4 linked regions of the Astyanax mexicanus genome follow. The protein of the gene in region 2 interacts with the protein of the main gene of each other region in a biochemical or structural test. Links are inferred from orthologs where the notes say so. Each region holds a gene or a part of one and is shown on either strand. Other genes may lie near its edges.

Region 1 (6,979 bases), on a different chromosome or scaffold from region 2:
CCTCCTCCACGTCTCCTGGTGTACTGGCCTGTCCCCTGGTAGCGCCTCCAGTCTCTGGACACTACGCTGACAGACACAGCAAACCTTCTTGCCACAGCTCGCATTGATGTGCCATCCTGGATGAGCTGCACTACCTGAGCCACTTGTGTGGGTTGTAGAGTCCGTCTCATGCTACCACGAGTGTGAAAGCACCACCAACATTCAAAACTGACCAAAACATCAGCCAGACAGCATAGGTTCTGAGAAGTGGTCTGTGGTCCCCACCTGCAGAACCACTCCTTTATTGAATGTGTCTTGCTAATTGCCAATAATTTCCACCTGTTGTCTATTCCATTTGCACAACAGCAGGTGAAATTGACTTTACTTGGAGTTATATTGTGTTATTTGAGTGTTCCCTTTATTTTTTTGAGCAGTGTATTAAGATATTTGGAGAGCATTATTAGTATTGTGACATTCTGGATCATTGACTTCTGTTACAAATCGATTAAAATTCTTGTATTTTTTCAATATTTCAGTTAGTGTTGTGTCAGATCATATCGTATGCAATAATATTTCAGTGTTTTATCATATTGCCAAGAGTATCGATATCGTGAAAATAACATGAAATATAATGATATTATTTTAGGGCCATATCGCCCACCCCTAGTGGCCAGACAGGGACCTGCAGGCAATGGATAAGAACCTGGGGTGTCTTTCAATGCCAAGAACACAAAGAACTAGCTTGTGTTCTTGGGCAGAACGTTGGTAAAACTTTGCAATAAGTGTACATTAATGAAATGCTGTGTACTTGCTATTTTATTGTATTTACAATACAAGGGCTTAATAACTATTGATTGTTTGTCTGAACATCTTTTCATCATTAGTGTAAATACAGTAAATACTTTTTATTTCAGTTTGTTTTGTTTGGCAAATCAGTTTTGTGGAAGATTAAGAACACATCCGGGAACTTGAACTATTCTTGGTCATTATTGTCTTGAGTATTAGAAAGCAGCTTAAACAGAGGAAAATGATAAGAACACACGGTTGCAAAAATACACAAGAACACACGTTGAAAACAGATCTGGCATTCCCCTGGGCAAAGAGTATTCACAGGTGCAATGTGGTTTTCAGTTCTCAGAATGCTGTGAAGTTTTGTTTTTAACATTTTGGTTTTAATGTTGAACTGGGAAGTGAGAGTACCCGCTAAAAAGCTAAAATTACATTTTCTGGTAAAAGTTTAGATTTATCGTAACCAGCTTTACACCTACCACAATAGCCTGTTAATAAAGGATTTTTCAAGTTCCCAGTGTTTAAAATATGGCCACATATAGTTACAGTTTTTTTTCAATTGCTAAAACACTAAACCCTGTTGTCTAAAGCAAATGCTCTTTGCCCTGAACCCATTTATTTAAATGTTCACTCTTTTGGCAGAACCTTGAGCACTTTTCATGTAGTTAGACACAACTTGCAAACATATTTTCACTCACTAAAACACATTTTGCACTGTGATGCCCTTGGGCTGCATAATTGTGAGCACAGGTAGCAAAGTGAAACTCCTGTTTAGCACTTCTAGTACAAAAAAAAACATGCAGTTACAAAAAACGTACATGCACTACTAGTCCTACAAGTTTATTGGGAAATTAATGTAATAAATCACATTTGTATTGAATCATAATGCAAACATTTACCTGTTCTCCTGTCTAAATCTTCGGATTATGATGGACACTGTGAATCTGCTTATATTGGGCTGAAGTCAAAGTCCCGTTTCCCTCATTGTCAAACCGTGGACTAGAACATGCTGACAGTTGCCCAAATTTTATCTGAAATAATTGTTCTACCTCCTCTTCATCTCTTACCCTGCCTTTCTGATGGTTTCTGTCCATAGTGAAACATCAGTGACCAGAGCTTCTTGTCCTGGATTATAATGATGCCTTCTATCCTTAGACACAAGTGTGATCAATTTTGAGTTGCTATGTTTAAGTTGAGACACCTGTGCTTTCACTGAGTTTCACTTTTGCTTACCATTATGTTGTGCCCAAGTGCATCACAGTGCAAAATGTGTTTTAGTGGGTGAAAATATGTTTGCAAGTTGTGTCTAACCAGGTAAAAAGTGCTTAAGATTCTGCCAAAAGAGTGACTATTTTAATAAATGGGTTCAGGGCACAGTGTGTGTGTGTGTGTGTGTGTGTGTGTGCTAAGAGACATTGTGCTTGGAGGGCAGGCCAGGCTATAAGGGCTAAGTGTGTAGTTACCCCTAGTAATGAAAACTCTGCCTGAGAACTAGCCCTGTGTTGAGCCGACTTCACGCTGGATGTTTTCAGAGCTCTTTAATCAGCTGTTGGCTCGAGTACAGCACGGTGTGTTTCTGCACACTGCGGTTCAGTCCTCAGATTGCAGTAAACAGAAGAGTGAAGTGTAGCAGTGATTAAAGGGTTAAAATCAAAGAGCTACATCAGTGTTGAGATTCAGGGAGTGTGTTTATGAGATGTGACGGCTCTGTTCTGCTGGGTACCACAGTCTTTTATAATTACTGTCTGTTCTTCACGGGCCCTCGCATTCACTCACACAATTAGAGGAGTGAGTGTGCCAGCTTTTCTCTCTCTCTCTCTCTTACTCTCTCTCTCTCTCTCACTCGCTCACTCGCACACTCTGTTTTTGTCTTTCCAATAAAGAGAAAAGTCCTTACTCAGCTGCTGGAAGCTCTTATGAATTTCCAGCCCACTCTGCTGACTTCCTTGAAAGAGAGAGAGAGAGACAGGAAAAGAGAGAGCGAGAAAGAGAGAGAGATATTGTGAAAAGAGGCGAAAGAGTGCAAAAAAGAAGAAAAGGTGAGAATAAGAATGAGATCAAGTGAGCGAGAAAAGAGGTAACGAAAGAGAAAGAATGAAAAACAAAGGCTGAGAGGAAATAAAGAGTAGAATCAAGTGAGAAAAGAGATTAGAGAGAACTGAAAGGAATGAGTAATAATATGACAGAAAGAAAAAAAAGTTGGAAAGAGAGAGGAGGTAGAAAGTAAATGAGTCAGTAAAGATCTAGAGAGAGGAGACAGAAAGAAAGAAAGAAAAAAAGAATAAATAGTGTCAAAGAGTAAATATACAGTAAGAAAGAGAAAAAAAAAATAGAGAAAAACATCCAGTAAATGAGATGGAAATGAATGATGGCAAGAAACGAAACAAAAGGAAAGAAGAAAAAATAGAAATAGAGAGAGAGATGAGAGGGTCAGAGAGAAATAGCAGAGCGAAAAGAAAGATAAGGAGACAGATTTGTGAGATAGAAGAAAAGACAAAAATAGAGAGAGGTTAAAAAAGAGAATGAGAGAGAAAGAAAGAAAGAAGGGAAACAAAGAAAGAGATCAAGGTGTGGTAAACTGAGGATGAGAACTGTAAAGAGAAATAGTTTTAGAGAGGAAAGAAAGAGAAAGAGAGCGAAGGTAAGCAAGAGTAAGAAATGAGAGGGAGTGAAAGAGTGTCAGAAAGGAAAGAAAGAGAAAGAGATTAAGCGAGAGACAAGAAGAAATAGAAAAGTGAATGACAGACCATGCAGGCAGGAAAACAGCCAAGAGTGAAAACAGACCATGGTTCTGTGTGTGCGTGTGTGTGTACACGTGTGTGTGTGTGTGTGTAGGAGTGTATGCTCACACTCCTGTAGCCCCCTTCTCACTGAGCACCACAGCTGATACACCTTCTCTCCTCCAGAGCCCCCTATCCCCCCATCTTCTGCCCTGAGAGTCCTTTCAGCTTTTGCTTTTTACTTTTCTCTCTCTCTCTTTCTCTCTCTCTTTTTCTCTCTGTTCCTTGCTTTCTTTCTCTGCTCACTTTAGGAGCTGCCAGTTTCCAGGGAGGATTTGCTCTGTTTCCCTGCCACTCGTGATTTCAGTGAAAGAAACACAAAACCAGGGCTGTTGCTGAGGAGACCTGTGTGTGTGTGTGTGTGTGTGTGAGACTGTCTGCCATCTTTACTTTACTTGTTTTCTGGATTTCCACCGTAACAGACCCTCCTCACTGAAGGACTCATCACAGCAGATGATCTGAGTAGAGCGAGGAAGACTCTGGTACAGATCTTTAGATCTTCACCCTCCTCTGTTTTTCTGCTCTGTCTGTTTTTCTCTCTCTTTCCCTCTGTTCCCCCGGTGTCTCGCTCTGTCCTGGTCTGCCCTCCTCCTCTTTGTTGTTCTTGGTCGTTAGATGTTGAAGTGGTGGGCAGTGTTACAGCTCAGGTTGGGGTGAGTTGGGGTGAGTTGGTCTGAGCTGGGGCTGCTATCAGTAACTGGACCCCTTAGTAGACATCTGAGTAAAATAAACAAGAGCTCACATGAAAGCTTTTGAAACAAAAACAACTTACAAAAGATCTCCAGACAAACACAGAGATGTTTTGGGGAATGTTCTTAAGGACTGAAGTTCCAGACTGTATATAATAGTTTCAACGAAACTTTCAGTATTGTGTCCCTTGACTTTTGCCATGTCCCATGAAAGCTAAAGAGCGCTGCACTGTCAAAGCCTTTAATGATGAGCAGTACCAATCAAATGTTTGTATACACCTCTTTTTCTTCAATGTGTTTTCTTTCTTTTTATGATTTTTTTTCACATTGTAAATATAATATTGAAGACTATATTAAAGTTATACAAAAACAATGTAAAATTATTTTTGTAGAAAGAAAAAAAAGTTTTAAACAAACCAGAATATGTTTTATACTTAAAATTATTTTATGTAGCACATTTATGTTCTGTTATTTGTTTGTTATCTGTTTGTACTGAGCGGGTCAACCCGAGTAGGATGGGTTCCTCTGACTGCGTCTTGGTTCCTTCCAAGATTTCTTCCTCTTAAAAGGAGTTTTTCCTTGCCACAGGTCACCATAAAAAATAGCATCTCTGTGGTGCTGCTCATAAGAGGCGTGGACCTGTTTTTCTCTGTAAAGCGGCTTTGTGACAACCTTTGTTGTAAAAAGCGCTATATTGAATTATCTTTGAGGACAGATCTGCACACTCTCAGTATTTTGGTGTCTTTTTAGATTCAACTTAGATTAGATTCAACTTTATTGTCATTGTGCAGTGTGCAAGTACAGAGCCAATGAAATTGAAGGAGTTCCTGAAGGTGCTGCACAATAGTTGCTGCTTTTCCTTCACGCTGTGAAGCTCCAGCTCAAAGCAAATCACCATGTCAGTTGGGATTAGATCAAACACTTTTTTTTTAAACTGTATACTATGTAATTCTACATGTGTCCCTTAACTTCATTACTAATTCTCATGTCTTTAATATTAATCTACAAAGTAGAAAATAAATTAAATAAAGAAATAAAGAAAAAACATTGAATGTGACAGAGTCTCTAAACTTTTCACTGGTACTGTATACCCTGTACACATGACAATGTGGATAAAGGAAATGGAATGTCCCATCCCTCTAGAGTTCAGCCTGAGTTTGGGCATTCCCAAAACGTTCACAGAGATAACACTTCATGATTAATTTACATACTGCTGTCCCATGACTTTTTGCATGTGTGTATGGATTTGAGAATTTTTTATTGGACCAATTATCATGTAAGTTTGATACAATAAAGAACTGACCAATTAAAATAGTCAAAAAGTAAAAAAAAAATAAAGATATGGATATTTAAAATATAGAAATAAAGCAATGTCCATGTGTGTCAAAGAAAATTCTAATTCATTTGTATATGGTTATTTTTTCATCCTATCATTGTTTGTTTAGAAACAAACTGGCTGTTTTTGCTAAAAGCTAAAGTCCAAAAACTTTTGTTTTAACGTTTTCAGTGTGAATGGGTGTGGCTAAACTGTTTGATAGGTAAGATAAAGTAATCAGGTATAATTATGTACAGTATATGTATATTTGTATCTATATGCGCTTGTACATAAGCATGTAAACATGTATATCCATTTATATGTGTGTGGGGAGTCAATGTCCATGTAGTATTTCTGGATTTAAATCTTAACTTAAGTACATTTTTACACAATACAGTGTATCTGTATTCTGTGTTCTTAGGCTACTTCTTAACAGCCTATCCATCACACATAAAGAACAGTCTAATTAAGCTTTGCGTTGACGTTATGCTCAGACGTCACACGGTGGCACTGCGTCAAGAAACATATGTACTTTTTTATTTATTAAAATAAATTAGAATGGTAAAAACAGTTTTTGAAAACATTTTAAATAAATTTTAAGCATTTTTATGTGATGTTATTATTTTTCACATTGTACATTTAGAGAGAATTCTGAGTAAGCTCCATGACAGATACATCAGTTGCATCCGTTCATATTGGGACAGTTTTTATGAAGTTTTTATGGCGTTGGGACCCGGCTATTATAAAGGAGTAAATGTGTAAAATGGCAAAAATGTTTAATCAAATAATCAAATTATAATTCAAATTTTAATCAAGCAAACCATGTTTTTTGGCAAGATATGGACAATTTGAAAGAAACAGTAAGATATTTCTCAGTTTATTCTTATGTCTTTTGGAATCAAAACAACATTTATAACTTTTATTTATTTTATATAAATTTTATTGAAGTTTTTCAAAAGCATTTCACAAAAAACAGCACATACAAAGTTTTTCAGTCATGTTTCTTCAACACATCTTTTGTTTCATACAATAATAAAATTAAAAGTAAAACAAACATATTACATTAACATAATCGTTTTTTTTTACAAGATTCGAAACATTTAAAATAAAACAGGTATATTGCCAACATCTTTCAAATATTTTTCAAATTCTTTTCTTCTTTTTTTAATATCAACAAGAGCTTGTTTTAATACATAAAGACGTAAAATTACACAGTTATCCATATTTTATTTTTTATAATACATATCCATATGTATTACAAATTTATTTGGGATCTTGAGAGGCTTTCTTTAAAGATAACTAAAAGATAACTTTTACTCCTAAAGATTCCTGCATTAATCCAAAGCTTAATTCTCTAGTTCAGTGTTTCTCAACCAGGGTGCCGCGGCACCCTGGGGTGCCGTCTGGCTTCATCGGGGGTGCCGTCA
Region 2 (7,053 bases):
AACCTTCACTGTGTGTGTGTTTACTGAAATGGGACATCTCGTAACGTATCATGTAACACCCGCCACCATGTTTCACAGATAGACAGTCATATCATGATGTGTTGAAGGGGAAATCTGGTGTGAAATGGACTTGAGTTGTAGTGATAACATGATAACAGGGCTTTTATCTGATGCTCCCAACAGGCTTACAATGGCTATTTCTTCAACTGAATTAATTTTGCAATTTGTTCCTCTATGCTATCTATTTGTTTGTGCTCATCATTCAACTTGTGACTTAATTTCAAGATGGCTATCCGAAGGTAAACGTCAGGATCTTTTAAAATTCTACAACTGAATTGTGGAGCTACTTTGAACTTTTAGAGGTGTAAAATAGCCATTTCTTTGCATGACCAACACTATGCCCCCATCACTAGCATTAATTAAGCCTGTAGCTAGCCAGCAGCACATTTTTACAAGTTAGCAAACTGCTCATATAGGTCTAAATCTTCAATTGTTAACGAATAAAAAAACACATAGATGTCATAACATCATCTGTTAATTCTCTGTAAAATTTCCCTCATTATTATTTTAAACTTCAGACTGAAGGTAAACTCCCCATGTGACTCAGAGCCAGTATTAGATTAGATTTCTGATCTTTTATTAAAAGAGTACTTGTGTAACGTAAATCCCCAAAACACCAACATGAAAAGTAGGCATCAGACAACTGGCTAATTTTAACGCAACATCCTGTCAGTCAGAAGAACTTAGCTCATGTAGAGGCTTTTATTACATTTAATCAGATTGTATTGGTATGAAGAGTTTTACAACAGAACCTAGAAACCAACCAAATATATATTATACCATGTGATTGGCTAAGAGATGCTCTGGGGGTACCAGTATTGCACAGTAATGGCACTCTGTCCAAAGCTCTCTACAACAAGCCTATATACCTATACCTACCAACAATACTAACCAGCAACCACAGGCTTCTGCCCACTCACAGGCTTCTGCCCAGGCACAGGCTTCTTTCTAAGCACAGGCTTCTGCCTAGTCACAGTCTTCTGCCCATTCACAGGCTTCTGTCTTATCTCAGGCTTCTGCCCAGGCACAGGCTTTTTATACAGGCTTCTGCCCAGGCACATGCTTCTGCCCACTCACAGGCTTCTGCCCAGGCACAGGCTTCTGCCGAGGCACAGGCTTCCTTCCAAGCACAGGCTTCTGCCCATTTTCAAGCTTCTGCACAGACGTTTGCCCATTCACAGGCTTCTTTCTAAGCACAGGCTTCTGCCTAGTCACAGTCTTCTGTCCATTCATAGGCTTCTGGCCATACACAGGCTTCTGTCTATTCACAGACACAGGCTTCTGTCCAGGCACAGGCTTCTGTCCATTCATAGGCTTCTGCCCATACACAGGCTTCTGTCTATTCACAGACACAGGCTTCTGCCCAGGCACAGGCTTCCTTCCAAGCACAGATTTCCTTCCAAGCACAGATTTCCTTCCAAGCACAGACTTCTGCCCATTCACAGGCTTCTGTCTTATCTCAGGCTTTTGCCCAGGCACAGGCTTTTTATACAGGCTTCTGCCCAGGCACATACTTCTATCCAGGCACAGGCCCCTGCCCAGACACAGACTTCCTTTCAAGCATAGACTTCTGCCCATTCACAGGCTTCTGTCTAATCTCAGGCTTATGCCCAGGCACAGGCTTTTTATACAGGCTTCTTCCCAGGCACAGACTTCTTTTCAGACACAGGCTTCTGCCCAAAGACAGGCTTCTGCCCATTAACAGGCCTCTGCCAGACACAGGCTTCCTTCCAAGCACAGACTTCTGCCCATTCACAGGCTTCTGTCTTATCTCAGGCTTCTGCCCAGGCACAGGCTTTTTTTTAACAGGCTTCTTTTTAGACACAGGCTTTTGCACATTCACAGGCATATAAACATTTATATATGCTTGTATCAATTCCATTACTAATTTTGTATCATTAAAAATGTTTTATATTTCACTCCTGTTATTCGTCTCTGTGCTGCTCTGAGGTGCTGTGTATAATGTGGAGCAGGTGAAGGTGGCGGGCGCCTCTGTGCCACCGCTCCGTACAGTCTGGGTGCAGACGAGATGCTGTGGTGCCTCTGTGGTTGTGGTTTGTCGTCACTGCTCATGAGAACTGCTGCAGAAACGAGCTGCAGAGCAGAAACCTGCAGACCAGCTCAGGAACTGTGAGAACATCTGCTTTCAGGCTGCAGTCAGAAAAAACACGATTATTAAAGCGACAGTCTGTAATTTTGGGGGTTTGGAGCCCTCTCTGGTGAGAGTGTGTAATTGCATGGAACATGTGGAAGAGTACTGTTAATACAGCTTATTAATACTCATATAATATAATGTGTTGAGTATAATATTTTTGAATTCATTTTGTTCATGTTTTTGTACATCCAACGAACCTACCAGACCACTCTGGTATTTTTACTTTTTACTTTAAATCGTTTTGACCAGTACTTTTTGTACTATTACTAATAGATTAAAAACCTTAAGAAGTATTTTAAACCCTAGTATCTACAGTATACTTCTACCTAGGCCTGTCACAATAACATTTTTTTGCAAAAGAAATGTTGTCCCACAAATTATTGCGATAAACGATATTGTTGGCATTTTCAGACTATTAAATGGCACTAATATAATGATACATAATATAAAAACATTATATATATAACATTATAATATATATATACATTGTGAAGTGATTGCAGCCCAGGTCTGTCCCAGCTGGCCCACGTTGGATCAGCATAAAGAACCTTACTGAGGCAACACAAACCTAAGAGACACTAAGGTTAAGCGACTAAGCCACGCTGGGCCGTTATTATGTTTCTTTAGGTTTGTTTTGTGTGTTGAAGAAGGGTATTTTTCCTAATTAAAGTACGTTTGGAGTTCATTCACTCCCTGTGTCTGTCTCTCTGTGCTTCTGCACTACCGGGCCATGGTATTCACCATCACAGTCACAATATATGTAAGTGCATTTTGTGAGTGCAAACACAATGGACGATATCACGATTATTAAAATGATTGAATAATCCATTTATTGAACGATAAGTCGATAATGTAATTATTGTGACAGGCCTACTTCTACCTGAATAAAAAATGGGAATACTTATCAAACCTTTGCGCTCTACTACTTTATACATATATCAGTGGGTGAACCCAGTGTTTAAAAACTCCAGCAGCCCTGCTTTTCTGACCTGATTGAAGAATAAGAACAGGGTAAAAGGAGGATGATAATAAAGTATGCCTTTTAATACTTATATAATACCATACTTTGGATATAACATTGATTTATTTTGTTCATTTATGAAATAGTGAAATAGTATTTGATGTATAAAAGGAAAGATTGCAAAAGCAATATAAATCCTGTATAAGTCTAGAAATATGCTGAATTATAAATCTCTACATATCATTTATTGTTCACTAATACTTCCTTATATATCATATTGTGTAAAAATGTCGGATTCTGCGTATAAAACAGCAGTGCTTATAGTCCTCTTATGTAAACGAGCCATATTATAAAATAGTAACGTTACAAATAATGTAAAAAGCAAAAGTTAATTTACTTTTTTATGTAATTATATAAAAAACGTAATAATTATAACTATAATGCCTTTTTCAGTCATTATTTTGCTTATTTGCTATGTTTGTAGTGTTTTTTTTGTATTAATTACTGTTATTAATACTAAAACAACTCTGACTACTCTGTTTTTAGTATAGACGTATTGTGTTGGAGCGATGGTCAAGTCAGGACACTGATAGTACTGATTTTAACGTTAATTTAATAAATTATAAGATAAAATAAAAAATAATAAAATATTACAGAACTACAGTATGTATCCTAATTTTAGGACTAACGTTACAGTAAAAGTGTCCTTTATGCTCAGTGGAGTTGAAATAATAAATAATGGGTTTATAAATGAGAAAAAAGGAGGTGGTCATAATGTTGTGTTGGTATATATCAGATTTCCACTGGGACTGGGGTTTGCTGAGCTTTATTCTGGGGCTGTGTCTTTAAGAGGCCGGGCTCCTCTCCCTGCGCTTTTGTTGTGCAGAAGCGGGTCGGATGGGGGAAGGGCCGCAGCCGCCTGCCTGCTTGCCTGCTGCCGCCGTGTGGGAGACCCTGCAGCCCGGACACTGGGAGCTCCACCGCACGCCAAACCCTGGGATACTTACAGCGGGACTAAGACGCCTCTAGGCCGGCGCAGGATGATCTGAACCGCCGCCGCTGCTGATCCCTCCACCTCCGTCCCTCCACACCGAGATGTGCGGGGCTGAGATTGCGGTCTATCTTCGTGCTTGTCGTTCGTCCTCGTGCCCCCGCGATACGGTTGCGTTTTTAAACGGTAAGAAAGCGAATTAGTGTTTTTTTTTTTTACTATCCAAAAAATATGAAACGGTTTTAGCTGACTGTTTTAATCCGGTTTCATTTGTATCCATTTCTCCATAGCTAGGATATAAAAAAAAAACACAACATACACTCTCCTTAAGCTAACTAGCTTTTTATCACCAGTACTGAAAAAAAGAATCCAAAATATCTTAAACCTGTCAGGCACATTTTAACACCCTTTTAATTCGGTTATTTACGAATAAACAATATTCAATCCGTTTTTATTTCAATCTGCTTCATTGCTAACCTAGCTAGCGTTAGGTTATAAAACAACAGTATTAGCTTAACCTACCTTTCTATCATCAATAGCTACTCTAACGTTAACGTTAACTAAACTAGCTTAGCTAGGTTAAAAATAAACCAAAAATATATTAAACGTGTCAGGCACATTTTAAACACCCTTTAATTCGCTTTTTTTATTTTTTATATTTAATCCGGTTCATTTTTATCTGCTTTATAGCCAACCTATGTAGGTTATAAAGCAACAGTCTTACCTTTATCAACAGTATTCAAGATTAGCTAGTTTTAGGTTAACTTACAACTAGTTAAATTAGCCAAAAAATTAACCCAAACCTATTTGAAACGTGTCAGGCCTATTTTAATACCATTTTAATTAAAATGTTATTTACGAGTACACAAAGGTTTATTCCGGTTTATTTTATTTTTATATCTGTTTCATAGTCAGTTAACTTACCTTTTTTAGCACCTGTACTCTAGTTAGCTTAACTAAACTAGCTTAGCATAGCAAACTAGGTAAAAAAATAATCCAGAAAAAATCTTAAACGTGACAGGCTAATTTTTAACACCTTTTTATCACTCTTTTTATTCGTTATTTACGAATACACAAGGTTTAATCCGGTTTATTTTCTTTCTGCTTCATAGTTCTAGTTAGCTAGGTGTTTTAAAACAAGTCTTTGTTAATCACCATTACTCCTAGTTAGGTTAACTAAACTGGCGTAGCTAGGTAAAAAAATGAACCCAAGAAAATTTTATAAGTTAACGTTACCTGTCAAGCATATTTATTACACCCTTTTAATGTGTTTATTTACAAATACTTTTAATTTAATCCGGTTTGTTTTTGTCTGCTTCATAGCAAGCTAGGTTATAAAACAACAGTTTTAGCTTTTTTAATTACCATTACTCTAGTTTAGCTAGTTGGATATCTAGCGATTGGGTTAAAAGTTAAGCCACATTTTAAAACACCCTTATAATTCAGTTATTTACAGAAAAACACAAGGTTTAATTCGGTTTATTTTTTATCTGCTTCAGGTTATAAAATTACATATTAAAATGACAGGTTATTTTTTTTATCTCCAGTACTCTAACTATGTTAACTAAACAAGCTTAGCTAGGTTAAACTAGCAAAAATATCTTAAACGTCTCAGGCACATTTTAGTACCCTTTTAATTGGGTTATTTACGAATACATAAAGTTTTAATCCAGTTTAATTCTTATGTGTTTTATAGCTAGGTTATCAAACAACAGTACTTAAGCTTAGCTAGTTAAAGTTAGTTAGGTTAACTAACAGCTAATTAACCCAAATATAAATTAATGTCAGGCACATTTTAAACACCCTTTTAATCTGTTTTTCTACGAATATATACAATTTAATGTGGTTTATTTTTATGTTTCATAGCTGGCATTAGCTAGGTTATAAAACAGTCTTATACTACATTTTTATTACCAGTCAATCTAACGTTAGTTAAGTTAGCTAAACCACCTTAGCTAAAAAGATCAAAATAAGATTAAAACTGAGTCTTAAAATCTTAAATGTGTCAGATACAATTTAATACCCTTTAATTTCCTCATTTACTTTGGTTATTTAAGATTAAATTTGGTTTAATCTGTTTCTAAACGCTGGTAGCGTTATCCACTCAGAGATGGAATCATTTGAGTCGTTAGCTTAGCATAGATACACTGAAATCTGCTTCAAATGCACAGCCTGTGAGCCCTACTCTCACAGATAAACTAGATTAACTATGTTAAAATGTAGTTTATCCTATTATACAGATTATAGGTAAATATATTAAACGAGTATACAGGCTGTGCCAGATTATGGTTAAGCAGGGTTTAATCTTCTACATGTCGTATTTAAACGATTTTGCTAGCTAATACAGCTTAGGTTAACTAGGTTATCTGCCACACAATATTCTATATATTCAGTATATTGCAGTGAGCACTAGCTATGTATGTTTAAATGTAGACTTTTGTAGATATTATGGCCATAAATCTGACTATTTTTTACTAATATAGGTTACATGATGATCATTGAAGACCTTTAACTTTGTTTTTATGTATATTTCCCAGGTAAATACAACAATACAAGGGCAATAATCAAGGTTTAATGTTGGTCCATTTCTATACTATTAGCCTCACTCTGCTTATCTTTTGAAGACTGTAAACTGTATTTTATTATTATATTTGAATACAGTAATACAAGAGTAATAATCAAATTGAGTCTATCAGTCTATATCTATTATATTAACCACACTCGGCCAATATTTTGAAGACTCAAACTGCATTTGTTATAGACTTAAATACAGTAATCAAATTGACTAGTATATCGGGACTATTAGCCACACAGTTAATATATTTAATATATTGCAGGTAGCACTAAGTATATATGCCTTAATGTAGACCTATTCTACCTATAATG
Region 3 (7,948 bases), on a different chromosome or scaffold from region 2:
GCCTCGAGGCTCGGGCCTGGAACTTCCCCATTCGCTCTAAATAGAAGCTGAGTGCTCTGAAGGTGCATTTCTTAATGGAGATGCTCATATGTATAATGCACCGAAGCCAGTCTTGTGGTTTTTAAAGGGAGGGGTGGGCATCGTTTTAGCTCTTAAATCCACCCCCAAAAGCCCATTAGCTTTGCAACGTGTGCTGTGGAGTAGCGCCACTCGCGCTGCCTCCAAGACCATTTGGTAAAATCAATGGCTTTCAATTATTCAGCAACCGAGAACCAAGCGTTTTCTCACAGCCATTTCACAAGGACACATCAACACTCTGGCCCACTCCCACTAACCTACATTAATCCAGCCGAGGGAGAAAGTAGGAGGTGGTGAGAAATCTGAAGCTGTTTCTGTGCCTCCTCCCTTTTTGGGCCTGTTATAATAACAGACATCTGCTATTGGCTTCATTACATTACATTACTTTACATTACATTAAATTAAGCGGGTGCTTTTGTCCAAAGTGACTTACAATAATGATGTAAATTAGCAATAGAGAACATAGAAGTTCAAGGTAAAAATATTTTTTGACAATAGTAAGATAGAGAAGGAAAGGCGAGGAAAAAGGAAATGAGGTTAGTAGTAGTGTGTTAGAGGTGTTAGGAGAGTAAGTGCTCTTTGAAGAGCTCAGTCTTCAGGAGTTTATTGAAGATAGTGAGAGATTCTCCTGATCTGGTAGTAGAAGGTAGTTAGTTAGAGGTGTTAGGAGAGTAAGTGCTCTTTGAAGAGCTCTGTCTTCAGGAGTTTATTAAAGATAGTGAGGGATGCTCTGGAAGGCTTGTAAGCATTGCATTGCAATTCAGATGAGTGTTGAGCACTAATAATCAGATAGTTTAATATGCATTAAATTTAAAGCAGTAGTATTACTGCATTGGAAATAAGCATCCAATGATTAATCAGTATAATCAACAATCTAATTGTATGTAAAATTGTATATATATATATATATATATATATATATATATATATATATATATATATATATATATATATATATTTATATACTGGGATAACTTATACAGTTTACACTCTACTTGTGTTGTGTCTCCAAAAGTGCAAAAACTCAACTGATCAAATAGTCACTCAGTAAATATCAGTATATTTATATATATATATATATATATGTATATATATATATATATATATATATATATATATATATATATATATATATACATATATATACATATACTGGGATAACTTATACAGTTTACACTCTACTTGTGTTGTGTCTCCAAAAGTGCACAAACTCAACTGATCACATAGTCACTCAGTAAATATCAGTACTTTTCGAATTTTAACATCTTCTAGGTATTTAAAAGGCATGTACTGTATATCCTACATTGAGCTGTTTCCTTTATTTTAAAGTGAAGGAAGCAAAGGAAGTCTTCGCATTTTGACATCTGCATTAAACATGCTCTTTTTCATGCTCTGTGCCATTACTCATTCTCACCAGAGAGGTAAAACAAAAACTTACAGAATGTCACTTTAAATGTGAGTCTGCAGCAGAACAGTTGTACACTAAACTGTACACTAACTAAGAGTAATGAGGACAAAATAACATAGCCCTTCATAATATGCAGCTAATGCCCTGCCAGTCTTAGTGCGCAGCACTAGCAGTTTGAGATTGGCTGCTCTTTCCTGCGTACGCGTCCCTGCATGCCGTATAAAATGCCACTGGATTTAATGCGTCCCTCATAAATGTTTTAATCTTTCGCAGAAGCTTGAACCCCCGGACCTTTCCCTCAGAAATGGACTCAGCAAAGCAAAGGCTCTAATTCAATCTCTCTCCTGTGAGTTTAGGATCTGTCTGTAGCTTGTTTTGTATCAAAAACAACTCTTAAAAGACCTATATCAGAAAAAATGAGATTTACCTCATTTTTTAAAAGTAAAAGATTGATGCAATTTGTAAAAACATATATATTTTTTTGCTTATTTCAAAGTGCATTCAAGCTGGGCTTATTCCCTGTTCATTTTATGCCTTATAAAGTATCTAGAGAGAAATTAGAGCAACTAGAGTTAGTGTTATATTACATTATTATAAAGCTGTGTTTAGTTTGGTTGATTTCAATAATCTATTCAAAAACGACCCCACCAATCCGCAACACACAGAGCCTCCACTACCAGACTCTGCAACAGCTTCTTCCACCAGGCAGTCAGACTCCTCAACACACACAGCCTCCACTACCAGACTCTGCAACAGCTTCTTCCACCAGGCAGTCAGACTACTCAACACACAGAGACTCCACTACTAGACTCTGCAACAGCTGCATCCACCAGGCAGTCAGACTCCTCAACACACAGAGCCTCCACTACCAGAGTCTACAACAGCTTCTTCCACCAGGCAGCCAGACTCCTCAACACACAGAGCCTCCTTTACCAGAGTCTACAACAGCTTCTTCCACTAGGCGGTCAGACTCCTCAACACACAGAGCCTCCACTACCAGACTCTGCAACAGCTTCATCCACCAGGCAGTCAGACTCCTCAACACAAAGAGCCTCCACTACCAGACTCTGCAACAGCTTCATCCACCAGGCGGTCAGACTTCTCAACACACAGAGTCTCCACTACCAGACTCTGCAACAGCTTCATCCACCAGGCAGTCAGACTCCTCAACACACAGAGCCTCCACTACCAGACTCTGCAACAGCTTCATCTACCAGGCAGTCAGACTCCTCAACTCACAGAGACGGAGCTGAACCCCTCAGCCCCCACAACCCCCCACTACCACACACCCAACACTCTCGACACTCTTCACACACACTCTCTTAGCACACAGAGACCGAAATGTCTCTATCCTTATCTGCAATATTTGTTGCTTCATTCTATAGAAAAGTATAAACTCTCTACCTAATTTTAATTTTGTTACACTGTGTAATGACAATAAACGTATATTGATTTGAATTGAAAAACAAGAAAACAGGAAAATATTGATGAATATTGCATGTGTAGAACTGGTTCCAGTAGACAGTGTAAACTTATGTTATTTGCACTGCTAATGTCATTAACTAAAGCCTATCTGCTGAATCTGCAAACAGAGCAGACTTGGTCACACTTTCTTCAACGAAAGACATGTAAATGTAACTAAATTAAGTGTGCAAATCCTCTACTCTAGTTCTAACACAGTCTACCACATGATGAATAGCTAATCTGCACTGAAAGATTCGTAAACACAAAGGGATCTGCTGAGCAATGCTCCTCAGCTCAGAGCTTCAGAGAGCGGCCTGCTTTCCTGGAGCTGTGTGTGTGTGTGTGTGTGTGTGTGAGCAGGCAGGCCTTTGTTAGTGGAGCTGATTGGAGAAGGCGTTTCCCATTACAACAGCATTCCTGCCATACCAGTCTCTCTGACTGAGGGAAGAGAGAGCTGGAGGGAAAACACTGGAAGAGACTGTGCAGCACAGGATCAGGAACACGTTATACACAATTGACTCTAAAATTAGCACAGTTATGTATTTCAGTACTCTGTATAGTGTATATGGATATAAAAGCATGCATAGCATAGTGGATTTAGTGTTTTGTGTTTCAAGATTCAGTGTTTATTTGTTATTTGCACAATATGTCAGGACATACATGCATTGTTTGCTTGTGGTGAGGCTTAGGGTAACTACTCTGCAGCAGGCTTACACAAATAAACAGGAGTAAACATACTAAATAAAACAGGAAATGTAGTAAATATACACAAAATATTCATAAACATATACAGAAGGAGGAAGGTCCTATGAAAAAAAGGTCAAAAGTTTTAGAACACCCCTATTGTTCTCTTCTCCTCACTGCTGAAACTGAGACTTAGTCCAATATTAAGCTGTGTTAAAGGCGCGGTTGCCATGTGGGTCAGCTAGACCTGACTCTTACTGTACCCATTTTCTCCAGTTTCTCCAGGAGTCTTTTAAAGGTGTCTTTTAAAGGTGTAGGAAACAGTATTCACCGCTCTCTGGCTTCATCTGTAAATTCTCTAAATAAAGACTTCTACTTTTTATAGTTACAGAGTTCTATGTGTATCTGTGTCTTTTTCTAGTTTTTATAAAAAAAGAGTGAATGTGCATTTTAAATGCTGCAGAAAAGAGAGCAGTAAACCATATATTGAAAATTACAGTATTGACTATAATAATACCATCAACTATAAATAAAAATATCTCACTTAATACAAAAAGTGCAAGCATATACACACAATAATTTACAAATCGACAAATATACACATATCAATGTATACAACAAAAGAGAAAAAGTGTAAAAATACTGGAGATAGAAAATGTGCATTTTTCCTCCCTACACTATACAAATAGATTGGACATAGGAATCTGAGTGGACAAAAACTAAAGATTTTCTATCAAAACACAAATATATGAATGTTTTTTTTTGTTAGAGTGAATTAGTGTGAACTACTGTCCCTCTTAGCATTTGTCTTCACACAAAACACCTAATATATCTTAAACATCCACACATATAGTAAGTTAGTAGATTTAATAATATTAGACGTAAACGTTAACTTTTATAAATATAGCCATTAAAATATTAATAATAAATAATGCAAATTTTAAAAAATCAATTTACCTACTAGGATTCATGTACAAGATGGATTCTGGTAAGTGTAGTTTACACGGGAATGATGAAAACGCTTCTCAAAAATCACCTGGTTTTAATATTTTTTTCAGTTCTTTTTTCGTCAGTGATTGTTGCATTGTTATCTAAAGATAAATAAATATAAAATAACGTTTCACATTTTTTGTTTAGTTGAGTTAAAACGTGTATTGTACTGCGTGTATTGTGTATTGTCTATCGCTTAAAGACTACATTTCCCATGGTGCATTGCTTCCCTTCTCTCTCTCTCTCTCCCTGTCTCGCTCTCTCTCTCTCTCTCTCTCTCGCGCGCTCGTTCGCTCGTTCGCTCGCGCTCTCGCTGGAGTTCGAGGCGAGTTTAGGGGAAAAGTATCGGCGGTTATCGGCTGTCAGTCACCCGGGAGCGGAGCGGGGAGGGAAAACACGACGGAAAAGGAGGATTTTCTGCTCAAACTGCGGACGGAGAGAGTCTGGGCGGCTGAAATGTGCTGGAGAAGAGAGGAAAAGCGGCGGGAATGTGTGGAAATGTGTAGTTTTTAAGAGAGAAAGAGAGGGAGAGCTGGAACAGCCCGGGAGAGCTGGAACAGCCCGGGAGAAGTTGCTGGATTAAGCAGGCGGAGGAGTGTTCGTGTGTTTGGAGGCGAAAAGTGCGGATTTTTCTCGGTAATTAAGCCTGGAGTTTATTTCCACGCGTATGTTCTGGATTTATTCTGTGTTTTAACGCGGATTTGAGTCTTCCCAGCGAGAGGAAGGAGTTGGTAGCTGAGAGTTTTGGCTGTTGTGGCTGAGCTGCTGGAGGAGGAGGAGACGCTGGGAGAAGCTCAGCACTGACGGTATTTTCTGCCCTGTTTTTCTCTCTTATTCCCCTCTAAACTTTCTACACTGCTTATAAACCACGAGGATATCGTTTATTAGGTGTTACTAGGTCCGTTTTTTGACCATATGACCAGAAAAAATAAACAAACTACCTATGTTTATGTTGTTTGAGACTGTACAACTTTATAAGCTATGCAGCTAATTTCCATTTTTCTAGCTAGCTAGGTTAGCTAACTTAGTTTGGTAAAGAGAAGAAATTGGGTTAAAGGTGTACTGATGTGAAAATTCTGGGATACCGATACCCGATATCACACATCGATACGTTCCTAAAATAATCGCCTCATAAACTAATTTTAATTCAGTTTAAGTTATTCAGCTAACACTAAAGCCAAGAGACCTTTTTCATCAGTTGTTATGACTATTTAAAAATGAGCAGTAACGTTAGAATCAACCATAAACAATCATATAGTCCTATATATACAGCTCTGGGGGGGGAAAAGCAAGAGACCACTTAAAAATATTGAATTTCTTTAATTTTACCCCATTGAGAACACATTTTGGTCACAAGCCATCAAACCCAGCTGAACTGCTTGACTTTTTGGACCAGGAGTAAAGGCATAAAGTTATCCAAAAGCAGTGTGTAAGACTGATTGAGGAGAACACGCCAAGATGCATAAAAAAACTGTAATTAAAAACAGGCTTATTCCAACAAATATTTATTTCTAAACTCTTAATTTTATAAATATCAACTTGTTTTCTTTGCATATTTCTTTTGCATTATAATTTATGTTTATTCGTAAGAAGTAAATTTCAGTGAAGGTAGCTCCATCTTGGAAAGCTATTAAAATTGCAACAATATGTCACATTTTGCTTAGGCATACACTTCTGACATTATCCTAAAGGGGTAGAATCAAATGGTTTGATCAACTGAGGTGATGAAATGTAAAAAAAATGAATAAATACAAATTAGCTTAAATTAATGGATTTTAGTTTGTAGTAGTGCAGTCAGGTTCACTTGGTCTTTTTCCGGCATACAGTAATACTGATATAATTCTTATATCATTGTGCATCCCTAATGTTCATTCATTTTAAAGTTTTTGCTATGTGTACCCCAATAACTATGATATCATGATACTGTGACTATTGTCTGCGTTGCAGTCCCCAACCTCCCAGCTACAGTATAATCCAGACATTTGTACACAATGGAAAAAAAAATCAGAAGAAGAATTTCTTCTTCACTATACTAAATGAACAAAAAAAATACATTTTACACACAATTTCCTATTTTCTAGGGAATCTCATATGATCAGGAAATTGAACTGATAAACATTACACTGACCCTTCACCCACCACTGTGTTTCTCCTTTTTTCAGCTCAATCTGCGTCCCAGATCTCTTCGAGGGACAGAAAGGGGAAGCTTTCTGCAGCAACAAAATGAGTGGGGGGGATGTGGTGTGCTCCGGCTGGCTCAGAAAGTCTCCACCAGAGAAGAAGTTACGGCGTTATGTAAGTAAATCTCAGTTTTATTCAAATGTGCTGTGGTCTGTGGGGGCTGACCACAAAGCCAGTACCCATGCAAATAACCTGCTTTCTAACAGCTAGAGCAGATAAAGCCTGCTCTTTCGTGAAAACGAGCTCAACCAGCTACCTGAGAGGGGAAATTAGTGAATCTGGCACCAGGTTAACTTCTGCTACATTCCCCTAAACCTGTCCTGGGTGTGTGCTGACATGTTTACTTGTCAATATTTTAGCTAGATGTTTCAGTATTTTTTTTTTTAGCATGTGCTGCTGTTTTCTCCTCCCTCACTCACTCACAACACTCACAGCATCCAAACACACAATTAGTGTGACACTAAAGTCTATATTTCGTGCAGTCATGCCTTCATTTCTACCCACACCTCCTCCTCATGTAGGCTAGACTCTCTGTTTGTGGTAAAAGCTGGTGTATTTGTCTTATTCTTGCTTTAAAAGAGCACATTTGACTTGTAGAGTGCCCCTGATATATCCAGGTAGAAAAAACAAAAAAACAAAAAAAAAAACCTTACTTTAAAAATCTGGTCTCTCAGATTAAGAATCCGTTCCATCGGTTTAGCAATCCATTCCTTCGGTTTAGCAATCTATTCCCTCAATTTTATAATCTGTTCCTTTGGTTTAGCAATCTGTTTCTTCGGTTTAACAATCTATTCCCTTAATTTTAAAATCTGTTCCTTCAATTTAGCAATCTGTTTCTTCGGTTTAACAATCTATTCCCTTAATTTTAAAATATGTTCCTTTAATTTAGGCATCCACTCCTTCGGTTTAGCAATCTGTTTCTTCGGTTTAGCAACCTATTCCCCCAATTTTATAATCTGTTCCTTCAATTTAGCAATCCATTCCTTCAGTTTAGCAATCTGTTCTTTTGGGTTTAGCAATATGTTCCTTCGGTTTAGCAAACTGTTCCTTCGGTTTAGCAAATCGATCCTTCTGTTTAGCAATTTGTTTAATAAGTTTAGCAATCTATTCCCTTAATTTTATAATCCGTTCCTTCGGTTTAGC
Region 4 (7,881 bases), on a different chromosome or scaffold from region 2:
ATCTTTTTTTTTCACCTTTTCATAAGCCATTTTTTCTTTATATTGACCAGTGTGATTCATGGTAATTCTGCCATGAAATCCAGCAAAAAAACTGATGCTGGTGTTTGACAGGTATTCGTTTAACGTGAAGGTCAGTGGACAACCTGTGAGGAGTCTTTATATTTATTTTCTTGCACAGTTGTGCATCGGGGTCTCCCACTGCATTTTTTTTTCCTTGTTAGAGCCAACTTTTACTACTTTTGAAAGGGATAAGTTACAGTATCAGCATAGTAAGATAGAGTAGTCTCAGTTTCTTTGCAAGCAAGCAACTGCTTTAGACACTTTAGATACTAAACTAACCTACAATGTTGTGCTTTCTTTTATGCTCCCTTATTAGTATAGCGTTTTTTTCTGGTTGTGAAACAAATGTGACCTTACCTTGCAGGCAATAACTATTCAAGCGTGTAAAACAGACATGCTCTTTGCTTCACTATTTATTGTGAATGATTGTTAAACTATTCAAATTTGCTATTAAATGTCTTTATTGATATTCTGTAGTACTGGTATTTGTGAGGTCCAGAAGGGTATTGCATTTCAATATTCCAGCCACAATCAGGAGAGCGGTGATCCACAGACAGAGACATAACCTGTCTCAGTTTCTACTCTCTGCAGGCCTTTGTGGCTCCCCTACAGAGCTCCTGCAGAGTCTGAGCCTGGGAAGACTAGCATGAAACCAGTGTAAATCAGGTTTGGACAGGCAACCAGGACGCTCCTGAAAGGCCCGTCCCCATCCCTTTTTTTTTTTTTTCACGCCCTCTAAACCTGTAGCTCTCCTCTCTTTTCACTCCCCACACCCTCCAACTCCCGTCCAAGCTGTCACCTTTTCTACTGAGTCTCTGATGGCTTTACTGGGCCGGGAAGGGGGAGAAAATGGAGGGGGGAGAAAAAGAAAATGAATGAAAGAGAGAGAGAGGGAGAGAGCGAGTGAGAACGGAGATGGACGGCTCCATTGACACAGCAGCCTCTCACTTTCTTTAACAGCCTTATTAGCCGTCCCTTACCAAGTGAAAGAGGACGTTTCTTTTCTGCAGGCTGAAAAAAGAAAAAGCAGGCAGGCTTTCTTAAAGGGGGAGAAGAAAAAGAAGAAGAAGAAGAAGAGAAAATAAGAGGTGAAAGCATATTAGCCACTGCTCCCTCCTCTCCCAAACCCACTACGTTTTTTTAGTAAAAAATTTTTTTGGAGGGGAAAGGGTGAGGGGTTTGTGGTGGGAGGGGGGTGGTCCTTGAAAAGGCCCTGTCCAATGGAAGAGACAGCTTGGAAAGAGAGAGAGCGAGAAAGAGAGAGAGAGAGAGAGAGAGAGAGAGAGAGAGAGAGAGAGAGAGAGAGAGAGCGCAGTAGGGGGGCCCCCTCTGTCTCTGACGTTTAGAGATCATTAATCAATCTGCCCCCACCTCAGCGTTAAAGCTTGGAGATAAGACCCCATGAAGAAACCCACAAGGCGCTGCACGTAGAGACTGTATGCTCTATGGAACATAAAATAAACTCATTCCAATCTTGGAGCAGATTTGGGCAAATGCATTGTATCCCCTTTTTTTGGCATTTTTCACTTAAGAACAAATAAAAATGATCCAAACTGAGTTTTACTCATATAGTACTATATACAGTACCAGTCTAAAATTTGGATAAATCTTATCATTCAATGTTTTACTTTTTACTTTTAATGTAGAAACTTAAAAGTATTAAACAAACCAAAATACTTTAGGTGCTCTTATCTGGGATGATGTTAAGTTACAGTTTCTGAGACTGATAACTCTGATGAACTTATCCTGTGCAACAGAAGTAACTCTTGCTTTTCCATTACAGGAGTGGTTCTGATGAGAGCCAGTTTCATCATAACGTTTTTGATGGTCTTTGTGACTGCACTTAATGATACTTTTACAGTAGTTAAGAAGTTCTTGCCATAATATGGATTAGAACGTTACTCAAATAGAGCTATTCACTGTATACCAACTCTACCTCTTTACAACTTCACAACTGATATACAGTATATTAGTCAATGGTTTCTCAGTCTTTCTTGGTTTCTCAATCTATTCCACTGACAGTAAAAACTATTTTTTTTTGCTTTTCTAAAGAACATTCTTTCTTCATTTGCAAGGTTCCCGCAACTCTGGTTAAAATTAAACAACACAATTTTAAGCGTGATTTCAACCCCAATTTCCAGTAGTGGTGAGTCTGTGCTAGTAGTCTCTAGTTTGTAGACTCTGGTATAGTGGGAGCTGACAGTTGGACTGTAAGTTGTGTAGTGTATGCCGGGCTGAGACTTTTAGTGCTGATTTTTAGTGTCAAAATCACATCGGACTTCAGTCTGACCAAAATCAAACATTTAATTTTCCAACCCGATTTTGGGAAAATGGCAAAAACAAAAAGCTTACAATAATTTAAAAGTTGCCATGAAGAAAGATGTTAAATTTACCCAGGTTTAATCTCTGCACACGTCAGCTACAAGTAACAAGAGAGATAATAGTAGACAGTACTATTGGTTCAGTTTGGGTCTGTTTTGCTGCTTTTTAAAAGAGTTTAAATGACCGACATTATGCATTAAGCAAACTGTGCATTTATTATATAGCTATAGTTTGATCACAAATGATCTCTCTATATATTTTTACTTACTTGGCCATTTTTTCACTTTGAACATTATAAAGTGCCATTACCAGCTCCCTGCAACCGATGCCTTCCCCTGAGGTTCAGAACCCCTGTGTTCCAGCCAGTCTTGTTTCAGCATGGCTGTCATGATTATTCTCAGTGACAGGCCCGTTGCAACAAGGCAAGCAAACAAATCTATTGCCTAGGGCCCCGAGCTGGCCTGGGGCCCCCAGATAACAACTGGTTGTGAATTAAATGCAAGGCAAACTATGTGAGCACCCCTTTAAATTCTGTGATGGTCAATGCAGGAAAGTAAAACAACACTGTTATTAGAATCCCCCTCAATGGAGCCCCTCCCACTAATTGCTGACAGTAGCCAGTCAGCCGTGCTTGTGATTCTTGCAGCTAGCAAAATATGAAACTTCAGTGATTATGAAGTGGAGTTATCCATCAAAAAAAGAGAAAGAGAAAACAAGCCATGTGATAAGAAAATAAGTGTTAAGTGATATTTAACACTGGATCAATGAGGCCCACACATACAAATGTTGTAAGGTAGATTAGCAACACAATATATGGATGATGTTTATGTTACCTACCAGCCTGGCAGTCAATGCTAGTAATGAACTAGAACAGCCAGTGCAACAAGTTAGTTGAAAGGGCTGATAATATGGTTACATACTGTAATGTTATATTAACAGGATAATGAAAATCTGTTTTAGATTCACTGTTTATAGTATAACATGACATTGCAATAAACATTACAATAGTTAAAGGAAAACTCCAGTGTAAAATTGACTTTTGGTGTAGTAAAACATGATAAAGCTCTTTGAAAGTTATTAATGCCTTGTTTTAAATGTCAGGGCTCTCCAGATTCTACCAATGAGGTGTGAAGCTACTATGAGCCTGGATAATGGTGTTAAAAGTGATTTATCTGCAGGGACAAAATATGCCCCATATCATTTATTCTAAAGCATGTTTGGACAAAGGAAATAAAATTACATGATCTCTGAAAGCTGCAAAAGAATAGAGGTGGCCTATTCAACAAAGGTTAGTACTCCTTATCACATTTTACTACACCAAAAGTCAATTTTACACCAGAGTTCTCCTTTAACTTTTTTAACATTTTAATCGTGATTACCTATCTACCAAATTTTGAGTTGTAATAACCTATGATAATTCTGTGCATCATATAACCAGACTGGAATAAGTTTAGTAGTATCCATACATGTCAGCTGTTCAATGCCTTCAAATTCTTAAACAGCAGAATGCTTAAACCTGTTCTAAAAGTAACATTAGAATGGGGTGTTTTTAAGTTGTATTTCTGCTAAGTGTAAACATCTGAAACTAATATTAACAGTTAATGTTCACATTTTTTTAAATATATTGGCTTTTACAGTTATTTTGCCCTTTTTTATACACTGCCTGGCCAAAAAAAAGTCACCACCCGGATTTAATTAAATGATGTGAGGTTGCTGCAGTTGGTCAGGTCTAGGTTCAGCAACAGTAGGTGCTGAAAGAATGAGGTCAGCTGACTACCTGAATATACTGAATATAGTCCCGGTTATTCCATCAATGGATTTTTAATTTCCTGATGGAACGGACATATTCCAAGATGCCATTTCCAGGATTCATGGTGCTGGAATTGTGAAAGAGTGATTCAGGGAGCATGAGATCATCATTTTCCCACATGGATTGAGAGAAAGTTCACCACAGAGTCCAGATCTTAACCTCACTGAGAATATTTGGGATGTGCTGGATGGAGAAGAGATGCTTTGTGCAGAGGTCAGACTCTACCATCCTCAATGCTGCTGCAAGATCTTGGTAAAAAATTAAAGCAACACTGGATTAAAATAAATCTTGTGACAGCTTGTGGAAAGCTTATTGGAACAATGCCACTCCAAATGCGTGCAGACTTTTAATTTGGTCAGGCAGTCTGTTAGTTGTTATGGGATAGAGGTGGGTTTACATGGTGGGGACCTGTTTTGCTTGGGGCCCCAAAATACTTTGAAACGGCGCAACTCAGTGAGCGAGCGGGGCTGCAGGTCCGAGCGCGCGCGGATGAGGGAGTCGCAGCAAAAATCAATGCGCGCGGTGTGCTCAGGCTGGCCAACAGGCGGCGTGCTTCTCGGGGAAAATAGTGCGTGTGGTGTGCTGCTGGTGCTGCTGCTCTGGGGGAGGGGTAGGTTCTCTCCCACTGGTGAAAAGTTCGAGTTTTTTTGCAGCAGCAGCAACAGGAGGAGGAGGAGGAGGTCTTCAGTGAGAGCAGAGCTGAGGGGTTTAGAGCAGAGCAGACCCGGGCAGAGCACCGCGGAGGAACCTCAGCTCAGCTCAGTGTCTGGACTCGCTCAGGACTGACTGGCGGAGGAGCGAGAAAAAACTGCAGTGAGGAAACGGATCGGGTTTCAGGGGGGAGTGACATTTCTTGAGGGGCTGGAGAGAAAGAGGGAGAGAGAGAAGGAGTGAGGGAGCTGCAAGAAGAAGGAGAAAAAGAAGAAGAGCCTGTAGCCTAAACCTGAGTGAGAAAAGCGTCTGAGAAAAGCAGCAGGAGACTGTCCGCGGACCGTGTCTAGCAGGATGTATACCCGGGCGAGGCGCTCCGTCTCCGGCTGCTAAAACTCCGCTTTACCCCCAGCCTTGGAGAACCGTGGGGGCTGTTGTTTTTTTTAGGAGGTGGAGGAAGACGAGAACGACTCTGCGGAGACGGACTTAACGGAGAAAGACAGAAAGTTCTGGGTGTTTATCGGTGTTTTACTGGAGTTTTACAGTGGATTTACTGGTTCGCTGCTGCTGGATACGGATCCGGGCTGGCAGTGATTTTGGAATAGTGAAGACTGGGCGATTCAGCGGAGTTTTTCTTATTTTTTTGAGGGGTTTGGAGCGGAGTTTGGATATATATCATCAGTCTGCCCATATGCCCCCGCCTGCCTGCGCTGTTTGTGCGGATCGGGATCCTCAAAACTTAGCGGTGAGTTTTCGGGCCGCAGAGTTATCGAGCAGCGCGCGGAGCGCAAACAGCGGCGGAGCCTGAGCGCCCGCGCGCCCGCATGTTTTTAGCGCAAGACGTGATTGAAACGTGGCTTGATGTGGACAACACGTCCCGGGCGCTCTGCCTGCCTGCTGTTTTAGTTAAGCCCAGCTACCCTAAACGTTTAATAAACGTTGATCGAATAAACGTTACAGTTTATATCTTTTAGTGTTAATGGAAATAAAATCAACATTTATCAACGTTTATTTAGCGAAAGGCTTTGAATAGTGCTATTAAGATAAACAAACGTTAAACAACCTGTTGACCCTAAATTATTGTTTAACATAATATGCCTGTTATGCATTTGTGTTCTCACTTTGACATCGAATCAACATTCATTTAGCGAAAAGCTTTCAATAGACGTTTTTTTTAGTTTTATTGCATTGTTTTTATTTTTAGTAATGTTTATAATGGAAATACAAACAGGTATTAAGTTATATAGTTAAAATCCTTTATTTTAACATTGAATCAACGTTTAATAGGCGAAAGGCTTTGAATGCTTGGGGAACTTTTACACTCACAACCCTGAAACAAAATGTGGGTTGTATTAAATCTACTTTAAGTGTTGACAATAAAAAGAAAAGCAAACTTTATCAAACATCAAATCAACGTTTATTTAGCGAACGGCTTTGAATAGTGAAATAAACTTTAAACAACCTCACTTTCGACATCGAATCAATGTTCATTTAACTTAAAAAGCTTAAAACAAAAAGCATTGAATACACTTTGATTTTTATGTGGGTTGTATTACGTGTTTTGATGTTTATGATAAAAAAGCAAAACAACCATTGTTTAACATTGAATCAATGTTTGTTTAGCTGAAGACTTAGGATAGTTGGGACACTTTTGCTCTCACACAACCCTGATAGCAAAAAAAAAAAATTGGGCTGCATGACATCTTATTTTAATATTGATGATACAAAGAAAAGCAACTTTTAGCTAAACAACCTTTATTTCACATCAAATCAACGTTTGTTTAGCTAAAGGCTTTGAATGGTCAGGACTACACTCACAGTGCTTACATGCGGCTAAAGGTGCACCTCACAAGTCATATCTATAATAATATTTATTATAATAGTAGGTTCATCATTATTATTATTATTTAAATGGCCCTCTCTGCACTGCAAGAGCAAAGAGTGTTAAAGTTGAATAAAAACAATGTTAAATCGATGTTGAATCAGAAAACGTTGTTTTTAGTGCATTAGAGGTTAACAAATAATAAAAGTTGATTCAAAAAGGGCGTTGTGTAGTTTGTGTTGGAATGTTTAGTAGCAATAATCTATAATCTTTTTCATTATGTTAAAAAGCAACTCTATTAAATTAAACAGAATTGAATGAATTTAGGTCAGAAAATAACAGTATAACCCAGTAAAACTTTGGTCAGACACAAGATTAAACATTATATTAGTGGGTGGAGACATTCATTCATCTCATTTAAACAGATTGCCCATTTACCGACACCTAAATGCATTGTTTGCATAAAAACAGGATCGTAAATCTGTGATTGTGAATGCACTGGCACTGAGTGATTGTAATGTGAAAGGGATGATGGTGATGAGCTTTAACGTCTTTAGATTATTTTCTTATAATTAAAAGCAGGAGAAAACTAGTCAATAGTTAGCTAGTGATTTAACGGCTTTGTTTTTTACGCAAATAAATTAAAAAGTACCTAAACTGTACATAAAAAAAAAAAAAGCAATGAGGGGTGTAGGGGTGGGTGATATGGCTCTAAAAAATAATCACAATACTTCAAAGCATTTTTGCAACAACAAATTTCAAGATTATACTACCTCAACACAAGAAATAATAAAGTTGTTAAAGTACATGCAGTAGAAATAAAAAAGTCTATACATTTTTATCTAATTGTAAACTTAGCAAGACACTTCTAATTTTGTATTAAATGATACCTAATAAAAATAAAGAAATCTACTACAAAGAAAGCCAATATAGTGCATGCATACAAACTGCAAACAAAAAATTTAAAGTAAATAGAATAAACTGCTTTCAAAATATCGCTATTATTTTTTTATCTTGTCAAAAATGGTTGTGATGTTATTGCATGTGATAAGATACAGTGAAATAAACTCACTGCATTTGCTAACTAATGTTGCCATGCAAAGAAATGCTAAATTTACGCAGATTTAATCTCTGCACACGTCAGCAACAGGTAATGAGAGAGATGATAATTAGCTATTAGTAGATATTAGTAGATAAAGAGCTTCTTTAAGCTATA

The links.
Region 1: the proteins of plcg1 (region 2) and pdgfrb form a complex in vitro, tested with the Homo sapiens proteins (3 studies listed by BioGRID and IntAct, with this or other methods). The link is inferred for Astyanax mexicanus from reciprocal best matches to the Homo sapiens genes PLCG1 and PDGFRB.
Region 3: the proteins of plcg1 (region 2) and gab1 form a complex in vitro, tested with the Homo sapiens proteins (2 studies listed by BioGRID and IntAct, with this or other methods). The link is inferred for Astyanax mexicanus from reciprocal best matches to the Homo sapiens genes PLCG1 and GAB1.
Region 4: the proteins of plcg1 (region 2) and fgfr2 form a complex in vitro, tested with the Homo sapiens proteins (2 studies listed by BioGRID and IntAct). The link is inferred for Astyanax mexicanus from reciprocal best matches to the Homo sapiens genes PLCG1 and FGFR2.

What each region holds. Positions count from the first base shown.
Region 1 is NC_064409.1:67,927,247-67,934,225, reverse strand, and holds the start of pdgfrb (platelet-derived growth factor receptor beta), read left to right. Parts: upstream 1-3,963; 5' UTR 3,964-4,030; intron 4,031-6,979. UniProt on the Homo sapiens protein: Tyrosine-protein kinase that acts as a cell-surface receptor for homodimeric PDGFB and PDGFD and for heterodimers formed by PDGFA and PDGFB, and plays an essential role in the regulation of embryonic development, cell proliferation, survival, differentiation, chemotaxis and migration.
Region 2 is NC_064420.1:49,213,367-49,220,419, reverse strand, and holds the start of plcg1 (1-phosphatidylinositol 4,5-bisphosphate phosphodiesterase gamma-1), read left to right. Parts: upstream 1-4,042; 5' UTR 4,043-4,353; intron 4,354-7,053. UniProt on the Homo sapiens protein: Mediates the production of the second messenger molecules diacylglycerol (DAG) and inositol 1,4,5-trisphosphate (IP3). Plays an important role in the regulation of intracellular signaling cascades.
Region 3 is NC_064414.1:48,871,763-48,879,710, forward strand, and holds the start of gab1 (GRB2-associated-binding protein 1), read left to right. Parts: upstream 1-4,931; 5' UTR 4,932-5,430; intron 5,431-6,786; 5' UTR 6,787-6,847; coding exon 6,848-6,919; intron 6,920-7,948. UniProt on the Homo sapiens protein: Adapter protein that plays a role in intracellular signaling cascades triggered by activated receptor-type kinases. Plays a role in FGFR1 signaling. Probably involved in signaling by the epidermal growth factor receptor (EGFR) and the insulin receptor (INSR).
Region 4 is NC_064414.1:11,917,081-11,924,961, forward strand, and holds the start of fgfr2 (fibroblast growth factor receptor 2), read left to right. Parts: upstream 1-4,864; 5' UTR 4,865-5,588; intron 5,589-7,881. UniProt on the Homo sapiens protein: Tyrosine-protein kinase that acts as a cell-surface receptor for fibroblast growth factors and plays an essential role in the regulation of cell proliferation, differentiation, migration and apoptosis, and in the regulation of embryonic development.